Sus scrofa: one gene and its partners. The protein of the gene in region 2 interacts with the protein of the main gene of each other region in a pairwise test. Links are inferred from orthologs where the notes say so. Each region holds a gene or a part of one and is shown on either strand. Other genes may lie near its edges. The genes, in order: SMYD1, HOMEZ and RNF8.

Region 1 (3,752 bases), on a different chromosome or scaffold from region 2:
AAAGTCCCATTCAAAGTGCCGAAAGGTATGCTACTTCCTTGGTGCCTATTACTTCATTTACCAGTGAAACTATCCCCCTTGTTTTGTAACTAGGATATCAAAGTTGTCCCTGTAGGCTCAAAATTTAAATGCAGATTTAGCTGACACAGAAGCCAGCACTTACAAGCTACTGCACTCACAGAAATCCAGAGCACAGAAATCTGTAAATAGATGCATCCCAGAAACTAAAAATATTACCTGAAAGGTAAGCCACAGCTCCAGATCTGCAAGAGTCTTTCTTTTCAACCTCAGTGAGAGCTGCCTGGCCTTCAAGACAAGTGGCTTTTAGTTCAAGGGAGATTTTGCAATAATCCATCCAATATCCAATTACTATTTTTCTGGCAACAAACACATGTTTAAGGGAGATTTGATAGCCTGAGAGACAGGAGAGTGTTCATTGTCAAGGCCTGCCTGCTCTCATAATATAGCTTTCATCTAGCACATACGTGTTATCAGGGAATTCTCAGTCCTCCAGGCCCTGGATGGAGGTGCTGTGGGAGGCCCAGGTTATACTGGGGAAGAGGGATGCCCATTAGAACCTAAACGTACTGTTATGCACATAGCCCAGAGGCCACTTTTGCATCTGCTGCTTTCTGCAAACAGTCCACCCATGTGGATTTGCTCTGGTGCCTGGGGCGGGGGCGGGCGGGGGGGGGGGAACAAGGGGCCCGTCTCACTTGAGAAAGTCCAAGCCTGACAGCTGAAGGGTCCCAGAACAGTAAGCATCACCTCGCCTCTTCTCTTGGACCACTTCAGCTGTCTGCTTTGGATTGACACAGGCATCTGGCTGCTAAAAATACCCGACTGACCAAGTGCCGCCTATTCCAACTCAAGCTGAGCATGACTGCCATCCAGGACTTAACTACCCTTGCAAAAGAACTTTTCAAAAGTTTTCAGACCCAATATGAGAAGCACACCAACCCATAATCATTTTCTATGTTGTCGGTTACATTGGGCGGTGCGAGGGACCCTTCCCAGATCACTGGCCTCTGGCTTGCCCCATCCCTGTCTCCAAGAATAGAGGCAGAGGGGGAGGTGGGGACCCAGTGGCTGAGAGGGGGTAGGGAAGGGGAGGTGCTTGTCCATTTATAGGCTTGCTCTTTGGGATGCTGAAGGTGCTGAAATAGCAGCGAGGACAAGGGACTTGGCTCAGTGTTAAATATCTGCCGAGCTGCCCTAAGATTCTGAGATGACAATAGAGAGAATGGAGAATGTGGAGGTCATTACTTCTGAGGGCAAAGGCAGAGGTCTGAAGGCCACCAAGGAGTTCTGGGCTGCTGATGTCATCTTCGCTGAGCGGGCTTACTCTGCCGTGGTTTTTGACAGGTACAGAATGTGGGTGGTTGCCCTCTTTTCTCCTGTTGGTTTGGCTGTTGCCACATTCTCAAATATTTTGCTCTCAAAATCATCAGAGCAAGGGATAAAATCCATGGGGCCATTGATAAGGAATGGCATTCCAACAGCTAACTGTTTTCTTGTGTAACTTTTCCTGCAAAGAGTCACTGCCAGTGGGATTTGCTCTGGTGCCTGGGGTGGGGTTGCAAAGGTGATCAAAGGCTTGGGGGCAAGTGCTCAGAGCACTGGTGAACTTGGCTGAGTGGGAGTGCTGTGTGTGGTGAGGTTGGAGAGAAAGGGAGAGGTGGGTGTGGTGCCTTGAAATCTTTTCCAGAGGGCTCCATGTTTTTTAGCTTCTGAGATAAAATAAACATATTAGAGAAGTAAGTGAGTCCTGGGATTTTAAAAACATGTAAATATGCAAGTACTCCTGGAGTCCATTTGCTTTTGAAAATAGGAGTATCACCCATGAACGGGAATCCTCTTTTACCTTTCCCACCCAGAAACCCAGTCCCCTCTGTCTTTCCTCAGAGGTAATCCTTCTTGTGATTTTAATGATTCTTTCTAGAATATTCTTGTTCTATTGCATCTATCTGTCTATATCTGTACTTACCAAATATATAGCTGTAATTTGTCTTTTTTTAACAGAAATGTTATCATACTTCAGACATCATTCTGAAACATACTGTTTTCACTAAGCATGTTTTGATACTTATCCATGTGGAAACTGTAAGTTTATAGACACTTCTTTTAAATCGTCAAAGATCTGTTTTTTCCTCCCACGTGTAGATCTATCCATGTTGATCCATACGCTCTATGGATCACAAATTTTAACTTCTGTAGATATTCTTCCCTGTAAATATATGGTCTTTAAGAAATCTGTTGCCCTATTGAGAAACATTTGGTGGTCTCCATTTTTTTTCATAAAAACAAATATTTCTGCAGTTAAAATCCTCGATCATGTCCACTTGTACTCATGCGTGATAATTCTCTAGGATGAATGGCTAAAAGAGGAATCACTCTGCCATAGGGTGTACTTTTTTCCATTTTAATAGGATCTCCTTAGTGGGTCTGTTAAATTTACATTCTCATTTCCTCACAATCCTGTCCATCCTTGACCCAAACTTTCAAATTAGTACTAAATCTCTATTTTTCTTTTTTTTTTTTTTAGAAAAAACCTTATACTGTGATGAAATTATAACAGTATTCTCAAAAGTTGGGGTGGCCTGCCTGACATTGATGTAGTCTCAATAAAGATGGCCTCTGATCTTGGCTTCGTGACCATCCTGAGAATGGGCAAAGGTTTTCAGAGATAATTTGAGCAGCATTTGAATTCTCATTTCTTCCTACCTATGAAGACCTTCAGGGAGAAGGCAGCTGATACCAGCTGAGGAATATAAAGCAGCTGAGAGGACAGTAATACCTCTTGGGGGAGTGGGTCTTACCTTATTTATTTATTTATTTTCATCTTTTTAGGGCTGCACCCATGGCATATGGAAGTTCCCAGACCAGGGGTCCAATCGGAGCTGCAGCTGCCAGCCTATAGCCACAGCCACAGCAACGCCAGATCAGAGCAGCATCTGCGAATCTACAGTGCAGCTCACAGCAATGCTGGATCCTTAACCCACTGAGCAGGGCCAGGGATTGACCCTGCATCCTCATGAATCTTAGTCAGATTTTTTTTTTTTTTTTTTTTTTACCACTGAGACGCAATGGGAACTCTGGGTCTTACTTTGTTAATGTAATTGTGTGTGTGTGTATGTGTGTGTGTGTGCGTGTGTCTGTTGGGGGTGGATGAGGAGTTAGTGGCATCCAAAATTAAGACATAAAAAGCTGGAAACACAGGGTAGTTCCCATTGTGGCTCAGTAGTAAGGAACCTGCCTAATGCCATGAGGATTCGGGTTCTATCTCTGGCCTCACTCAGTGGGTAAAGGATCCGGTGTTGCTGTGAACTGTGGTGTAAGTTGCAGATGTGGCTCGGGTCTGGTGTTGTTGTGGCTGTGGTGTAGCCTGGCAGCTGCAGCTCCGATTTGACCCCTGGTCTGGGAACTTCCATGTGCCACATGGCCCTAAAAAGGAAAAGGAAAAAAAAATCTAGAAACACAGGAACCCTGAATAATCTTGGTGCTGCCACTGAGTTGCCACCTTGCCTTTTAAAGAACCTCCATGGGTTTCTGCAATTCCCTAAAAGCCAATATGGCCAATCAGTTTCTCCTTCACGACGGTTTGGAGTTGAGTGGGTTTTCCCTTCATTATAAAAGTCAAATTTAGGAAGAAAAAAAGGTATCTTCACACCAAGATAACTCAACCTTGTTGATTGTCTCCTGCTTATTTTACAACACAGGGTTCATTTGTTTGTACTACAGGCTTGTATATT
Region 2 (3,324 bases):
CTGTTTTTCTTCTTATTACAGCGATCTCTGAAGGGCACAAGTCAGAAAGCACCATGCCTCCTAATAAAGAGGCCAGCAGTCTTAATAGCTCCCCTGCGGGGCTCATCTGTCTCCCTCCAATTTCTGAGGAGCTACAGCTTGTGTGGACCCAAGCAGCCCAGACCAGTGAGCTGGATGGCAATGAACACTTGCTACAAACCTTCAGCTACTTTCCCTATCCCAGTTTAGCAGACATTGCCCTTCTCTGCCTACGCTATGGGCTGCAGATGGAGAAAGTCAAGACTTGGTTCATGGCCCAGCGCCTCCGCTGTGGCATTAGCTGGTCATCCGAAGAAATAGAAGAGACTCGAGCCCGTGTGGTCTACCATCGGGACCAACTCCACTTCAAATCCCTTCTCTCTTTCACTCATCATGCAGGGCGGCCCCCAGAGGAGGTGCCTCCTTCTCCGATGCCACCTCCAGAACAAGTGGGTCTTGGAATAGTGCCCCTGACTCTTAGCGAGCCCACCCAGAAGAAAGGATTGAAGGTAGAGCCTGAGGAGTCCTCAGAGCCACTGAGTCACCAGAAAGCAAAAGAGCCCCTGTTGGTACCTGGCACTGGGACATTCCCCCACCAATCAAACTTTTGGCAGGATCTTCAGAGCAGTGGCTTCTCTAAAGGGCAGGCAGGCAGGGATCCCGACCAGTCCCACGGCCTAGGTACTGCTTCCTGGAACCACTCCACAGCTGTCCACCAGCCCCGAGCTCGGGATAAGCCCCCGCCCATCTCATTACTTGCCAGTAGTTGCAAGAAGGAGTCCGCATCTAATGTGACTCCTCCTTCCTCTACCTCTTCTTCCTCTTTCCAGGTACTGGCTAATGGAGCTACTGCCACCTCTAAACCCCTCCAGCCACTGGGCTGTATCCCACAGCCACCATCACCCAAGGAACAGGCACTACCCCCACATCTGGAGCCAGCCTGGCCCCAGGGGCTAAGGCATAACTCAGCACCAGGGAGGGTTGGCCCTGCAGAGTACCTTTCCCCAGATATGCAGCGCCAGCGAAAGACCAAGCGCAAAACCAAAGAGCAGCTGGCTATCCTCAAATCATTTTTCCTACAGTGCCAGTGGGCACGGCGTGAGGATTACCATAAATTAGAGCAGATCACTGGTTTACCTCGGCCTGAGATTATTCAGTGGTTTGGTGACACACGCTATGCCTTGAAGCATGGGCAACTAAAATGGTTTCGGGACAACGCAGTACCTGGGGCCCCTAGCTTCCAGGATCCAGCAATTCCCACACCACCACCTTCAACCCGCTCCTTGAATGATTGGGCTGAGACACCACCTCTGCCGAATCCCCCACCCCCACCGGATATACGACCCCTGGAGAGGTACTGGTCAACCCACCAACAGCTACGGCAGAGCGATATCCCTCAACTGAGTCAGGCATCAAGGCTGAGCACCCAGCAGGTATTGGATTGGTTTGACTCTCGATTACCTGAGCCAGCTGAAGTGGTGGTTTGTCTAGATGAAGAGGAGGAAGAGGAGGAGGAAGAACTGCCAGAAGACTGTGAGGATGAAGAGGAGGAGGAAGAAGACGATGATGATGATGACGATGATGTGATCATCCAGGACTGAGTGGGGGGCGAGGGGAGGTCTGTTACTAAAAGATGAACCAACTTAGTAACTGTTTAAACAAAGAAACCACATTTTTTTATAATTACCTTGTGGCAAAGAACTGAAAAGCTTTGTGTTCTTGAGGGTCGGGACTGGGGGATGTAGTGAGGGAAACCAGGAAGGATGACCAAGGCACAAAGTGAGGTGGGGATTGGATGGGCAGGAATCCAGGCCTGCAGCCTCAATGAAGAGAGTGCCAAGGGTCTGGTCCAAATGATGGGGCCGGAAAAGGCTCTTGCTCTCCTCTCAGATCTGCCATACTTTTCCCTACTGTACTACAGAGAGGCCAGGCTTTGGCCCATGTCTATGGGGGAAGGCAAAGGAGGAGTAAAGAATTTTGATTCACTGATGATTCCAGTACATCCCCCAGTCCCACCATTTTCCCTGGAACATAAAGCTGCCTTGCACCCCTTCTTTTCTCTCCAAGCACAGGTCCTTGCATAATGCAGCTAAGAATCTCATGTCCCCATCAGTCACAAATATTTCCTCTCCCTCATATCAGCTTGACTTTATATGTTTTCCTGCTGCTTTTATCGAGTCACACAGGGAGCAGAATGTTTTCATTTCTGATGCTGGGACCACTATGCCTTGTACCTTTTTATCTTTCCAGAATCCCCATTCTGTTTATTATTTGTCTCAGGGTAAATCTTCCCCCCAGAGCTTGTGAAAAAGTTTAATAATTGGGTGGAGAATAATTTAGACTGGATATTTATTGGAGGTGGGATTTAGGCGAGATGTCCTTTTAAAAATGAATTAGATTACAGAGGGATAAGAGGAGAGGGAATGGTTTCTACTGTTTGGAAGGACGGTGAAGGTAGGTACCAGGTTTGGTTTTACAAACCTGACACTCCCTCCTGCCTAGCTTGACAGAGACTGATTTTTTATCTTTTTCATGTTAGTTTAATTTGTGTCCAGAGAAGAGACTTTTCCCTCTCTTGATAGGATCTGTCTTGGGGACAGAGGGACCATGGTCTTTAACTGAATTAATTGATGTTTTAGAATGGTTTTCATCAGATGGGGTCACCTATAACAATATCAGTGGGTTAACCATCTGGAAATAAAAGGTTGGAAGCCCCCAATTACTAGAATAATAATAAAAAGGCCAAAAATAAAATTGTTTCTCTCTCCTCCACTTTGCTACTTTAATCGTTTAGAGATTAATGGAGCCAAATCCATTAACTTTCTGATTTAGTATACTTTTTATTTATTTATCTTTTAAGCATCAGGATATATTGAGTTAAAGTAAAAGAACAAAAATTTTAAAAGACAGTAGATCAGTATCTATTACTAGGCAGACTGTTTCCTGCACTTGCTACAGCAGAGCCTCTTGCTCAGAAGAGGGGGAGTCTAGAAATGCCTTTAAAAATCCAATTCAGGAGCTCCCATCGTGGCTCAGTGGTTAACGAATCCGACTAGGAACCATGAGGTTGCAGGTTCGATCCCTGGCGTTGCTCAATAGGTTAAGGATCCGGTGTTGCCATGAGCTGTGGTGTAGGTTGCAGATGCAGCTTGCATCCCGTGTTGCTGTGGCTCTGGCATAGGCCGGCAGCTACAGCTTCAATTGGACCCCTAGCCTAGGAACCTCCATATGCTGAGGAAGTGGCCCAAGAAATGACAAAAAGACAAAAAAGAAAAAAAAAATCCAGTTTCAGAAAGGGTAGTGGGG
Region 3 (3,652 bases), about 43 Mb from region 2:
GAAAATTTTAAGAAGGGAAATGATCAGGTTTAGTTTTTACATTACACCCCAGCTACTGTGTGAAGAATGGAGGCTAGCACAGGAGTAGAAATAGTGCTACTGGAGGAAGAAGTGTTGTTTGGATTAAGCTAGGAGCCACTGAGAGAGAGAGGGAGAGGGAAGGAGAGAGAGAAGTGAATAGATTTAGGACATATTTGAACTACAGCCAGTAGATTTTGCTGATGATTTGAATGTGGGCATGAGGGACAGAGAGCAAATCAAAGATGGCTCCTGGGTTTTGGGCTAAGCAGTAGGTTGGATGGTGGTGTCAGTTGCTGGGATGAGAGTTTATGGGGAGGAATAGATTGGAGCAGCGAGTCGTTCATGGTGGTCTTTAAGAGACTAAGGAGGACAGGCATGATTCTGAAAGATTTTCAAGAGGAACAAAAAGGGCAGCTTTTAGAAAACTACAGACATTTGGCTTAGTGTTCCCAGGTAAGGTCTGGATATGGGTCATTGAAGAGGGGCTTGTGCAGCAAGAAGAATAAGCAGGGCATTCTGCAAGCTGGATCCCGGAAGAATTTCATTTCCTTCCTTGACAGGGTTGTCATGAACTAGATTGGTCGGTCAGCAAAGTATGATGCATGTGAATTGGGTCGTCTTTGCAACCTTTTCCAAAGGCTCTCATGATGTTCTTGTGGGTAAGATGGAAAATACAGACTTTTCCATCTTTTGATTGGATTATAACTGGTTGAAAGTATACCCAGATTGTGTGTTAGAATGTTGGTTTTTTTGTGTGTGTATTTTTAGGGTTGCACCTGTGGCATATGGAAGTTCCCAGGCTAGGGTGTCAAATCTGAGCTGTAGCTGCTGGCCTACACCTCAGCCACAGCAAAGTGGGATCCAAGCTGCATCTGCAACCTACACCATGGCCATGCCGAATCCTTTAACCCACTGAGCAAGGCCAAGGGTCGAACTTGCATCCTCATGGATGCTAGTTGGGTTCAGTATCACTGAGCCACCATGGGAACTCCCTTAATTGTTGAATTTTTTTGTGTGTATTTTTAGGGTAGAATATTTGCTAGGCTTTCCTAAGAGCTTTGCCTTTGGCTACAACCTGTTTTAATCTTCTTAATCTGTGTCCTGAATGAAGGTACAGAAGGCATCATATCAATTTGGTGGGTGACTTAAAGCCAGAATGGATATTGAGTGTGTCTGATAGCAGATTAAAAATTCAGAAAGGTCTTGACAAGCTAATGATAGGCTAAACTAACAAGATGACATTTAATAGGAATCAATGTAAGGTCCTGCACTTGAATCCACATTTGCCAGTTAGTCTAGGACAGAAAAGACATGACTTAGCATAGGAATTCTTTGGAGGGTTAGTCCAAGAAATTTAATCATTCCTAAGCCTAAGGGTATGCTGGCAGTGTGATAGATCTACTGTGAAAGCTAATGTTATTTATATTCTCCACTGATAACATCTAGAACTGGGAAAGTGATACTTGTATTCGACTATATAATAAAAAATCAAGTTTGTTTTTCTTGATATGACATCTAGGAATAACACCAAAAATCTCTTCACAGACCTATTAAAATGGCAAGAAGACTCAAACCTATGACATGGAGTTATGTCGAAGTAATAGGAACATAGGGCCAAGAAAAGGGAAGATTCCACAGATGCACTATAGCTCTCATGTGAAGGGGAACTGGAGATTTTCTGGTTGTGGCCAGGGCAGAGCTTGGGCCAGTGGATGGAAATTATAGGGAGAAAGATTCCAAGTCAGAGCCATTAAAAAGTTGGCGGGACTGTCTTGTATCATAGCTATAGTTCTTGGCCGTGTAGAAAACTAGTTAATGGGGTGTGTAGAGAGAATTCCTCCATCCCATGAGTGGTTGATGCAGGTGACCTTTCAGAGTCCTACCAACCCTGACACCCCATGATTAACTCCGTTCAGCTGTCTCTTGTCACAGCTTTTTGCCTTTTTCTTTCTTTCTTTTTTTAAACAAGTGGCCGCACCTGCAGCATATGGAAGTTCCTAAGCCGGGATCGAGCCACAGCCACTGTAGAAGCAACACTGAGCCACACGGGAAGTCCATTTTTTGCCTTTTTCTATCCACTGGCTTCTATGGCAGCTGAAGGAGATAGCCAGTGAGCTGCTTGCCTTTCTGCTCTGGTTTCCTAAGTCAAGACTTGTGGACACTGCTGGTTGACAAGATTGTAATGACCTCCCTCTTCAGCACAATGGCTGATTGTGTCTACGTTGTTGTTGTCTTCTTAGGTGACTGTAGGTCGAGGATTTGGTGTCACATACCAGTTGGTTTCAAAAATTTGCCCTCTGATGATTTCCCGAAACCACTGTGTCTTGAAGCAGAATGCCGAGGGCCAGTGGACAATTACGGACAACAAGGTAACTGCAGAAGACTAATAATGTTTATTGAATTTTTGTTTATTTTTAAGTTCCTTTATTTTTTGCAGTGGTAGAGAACTAAAAGACTCAAAAATATATCTTCTCCCCTAGCTACTGACTTGTCTTTCCCAGAAATGACTGCTTCTCTGTGCTGCCAGAGATTAGATTATGCCAAAAGAAGTTCTAATGACTTGAAGTTAGTTACTTTGAAGGGAACACCTGAATTGGGGCAGTAGGTCCTGTTCCAAAAAGTAGACTAAGTTACCAGGGGACTTGGTCTCTTGTGAGTTGAAGGTCCAAAGACCTTGGGAATCTGACAGAGATTTTGGAGTGCTCCTGTGGAGGAGGGAGGAACTGAGCTGATTTCACTCGGGTCCTCTTACTGCTCCTTTTCTTTTTTTTTCTTTTCTTTTTTTTTTTTCTCCGCTTAAAACAAATTTGAAAACCACAGGTTTAGTGTGAATACTAAGGCAGGTGAAATAGTGTATAGAGCTGAGCAATTAGGAAGACCCTAAAGTACAGATATACAATCACCTGGGAATGCAGTGAAAATAGACACTGTGAAATGAGAGAAATTCCAATATAAACAATTAAGGATTAGGAAGTGTGAAATGTCTTCAGACACCATTTTGCACTACTCTGGTTGGAAGGCATATAAAGATACCTATTAGAAGGAAGTGTATGAAGATGGTTCTGAGATCAGTTCCAATGGATGTTGGGAGGGGGGAGATCTCCCCTCCACATACCACAAGCAGTGCATACACCAGCTGGATGTCTTGCAATTCAACTCAATCCTCTTCTGTCTACCCGGAGATAGCATCAGATTCCACAGGTAGAGGGCTCCATCCCACAAAACCACTCTCCTCTCAGGTGCCATTCACAAGCCCAGGTTAACATCTGTGCTTCTGACACGTGAACCTATTATAGGTTGGAGGTTCCAAGGACCCCATCCTAGATCTCCAGGAGCCATTTGCAGGTCCAGATTGTTACCTGTACTTCTGACTGACTGGCTGTAAATCAGAGGTTCCCATGGCCACCTCCCTTTTTGGATTCAGTTAATTAGTTAGTTATTCGCAGCCAGGAACACATTTATTTACATTTACCAGTTAATTATAAAAGGAAATGGTGAGGTGAGGGATACAGGTGAACATCCAGATAGAAGTGATACATAGGACAAGGTATGTGCGCAGGGATATGGAGCCTCCATGCCCTGTCCAAATGTGCCATCCTCCCAGTACCTCCATGTGCTCACCAACCAGGAA

The links.
Region 1: the proteins of HOMEZ (region 2) and SMYD1 interact in binary tests that used the Homo sapiens proteins (3 or more experiments, as listed by UniProt). The link is inferred for Sus scrofa from reciprocal best matches to the Homo sapiens genes HOMEZ and SMYD1.
Region 3: the proteins of HOMEZ (region 2) and RNF8 interact in binary tests that used the Homo sapiens proteins (3 or more experiments, as listed by UniProt). The two-hybrid records come from large-scale screens. The link is inferred for Sus scrofa from reciprocal best matches to the Homo sapiens genes HOMEZ and RNF8.

The regions. Positions count from the first base shown.
Region 1 is NC_010445.4:57,915,959-57,919,710, reverse strand, and holds the start of SMYD1 (histone-lysine N-methyltransferase SMYD1), read left to right. Parts: upstream 1-1,134; 5' UTR 1,135-1,228; coding exon 1,229-1,365; intron 1,366-3,752. UniProt on the Homo sapiens protein: Methylates histone H3 at 'Lys-4' (H3K4me), seems able to perform both mono-, di-, and trimethylation. Acts as a transcriptional repressor. Essential for cardiomyocyte differentiation and cardiac morphogenesis.
Region 2 is NC_010449.5:75,795,243-75,798,566, forward strand, and holds the end of HOMEZ (homeobox and leucine zipper protein Homez), read left to right. Parts: intron 1-21; coding exon 22-1,619; 3' UTR 1,620-2,785; downstream 2,786-3,324. UniProt on the Homo sapiens protein: May function as a transcriptional regulator.
Region 3 is NC_010449.5:32,938,281-32,941,932, forward strand, and holds part of RNF8 (E3 ubiquitin-protein ligase RNF8), read left to right. Parts: intron 1-2,261; coding exon 2,262-2,390; intron 2,391-3,652. UniProt on the Homo sapiens protein: E3 ubiquitin-protein ligase that plays a key role in DNA damage signaling via 2 distinct roles: by mediating the 'Lys-63'-linked ubiquitination of histones H2A and H2AX and promoting the recruitment of DNA repair proteins at double-strand breaks (DSBs) sites, and by catalyzing 'Lys-48'-linked ubiquitination to remove target proteins from DNA damage sites.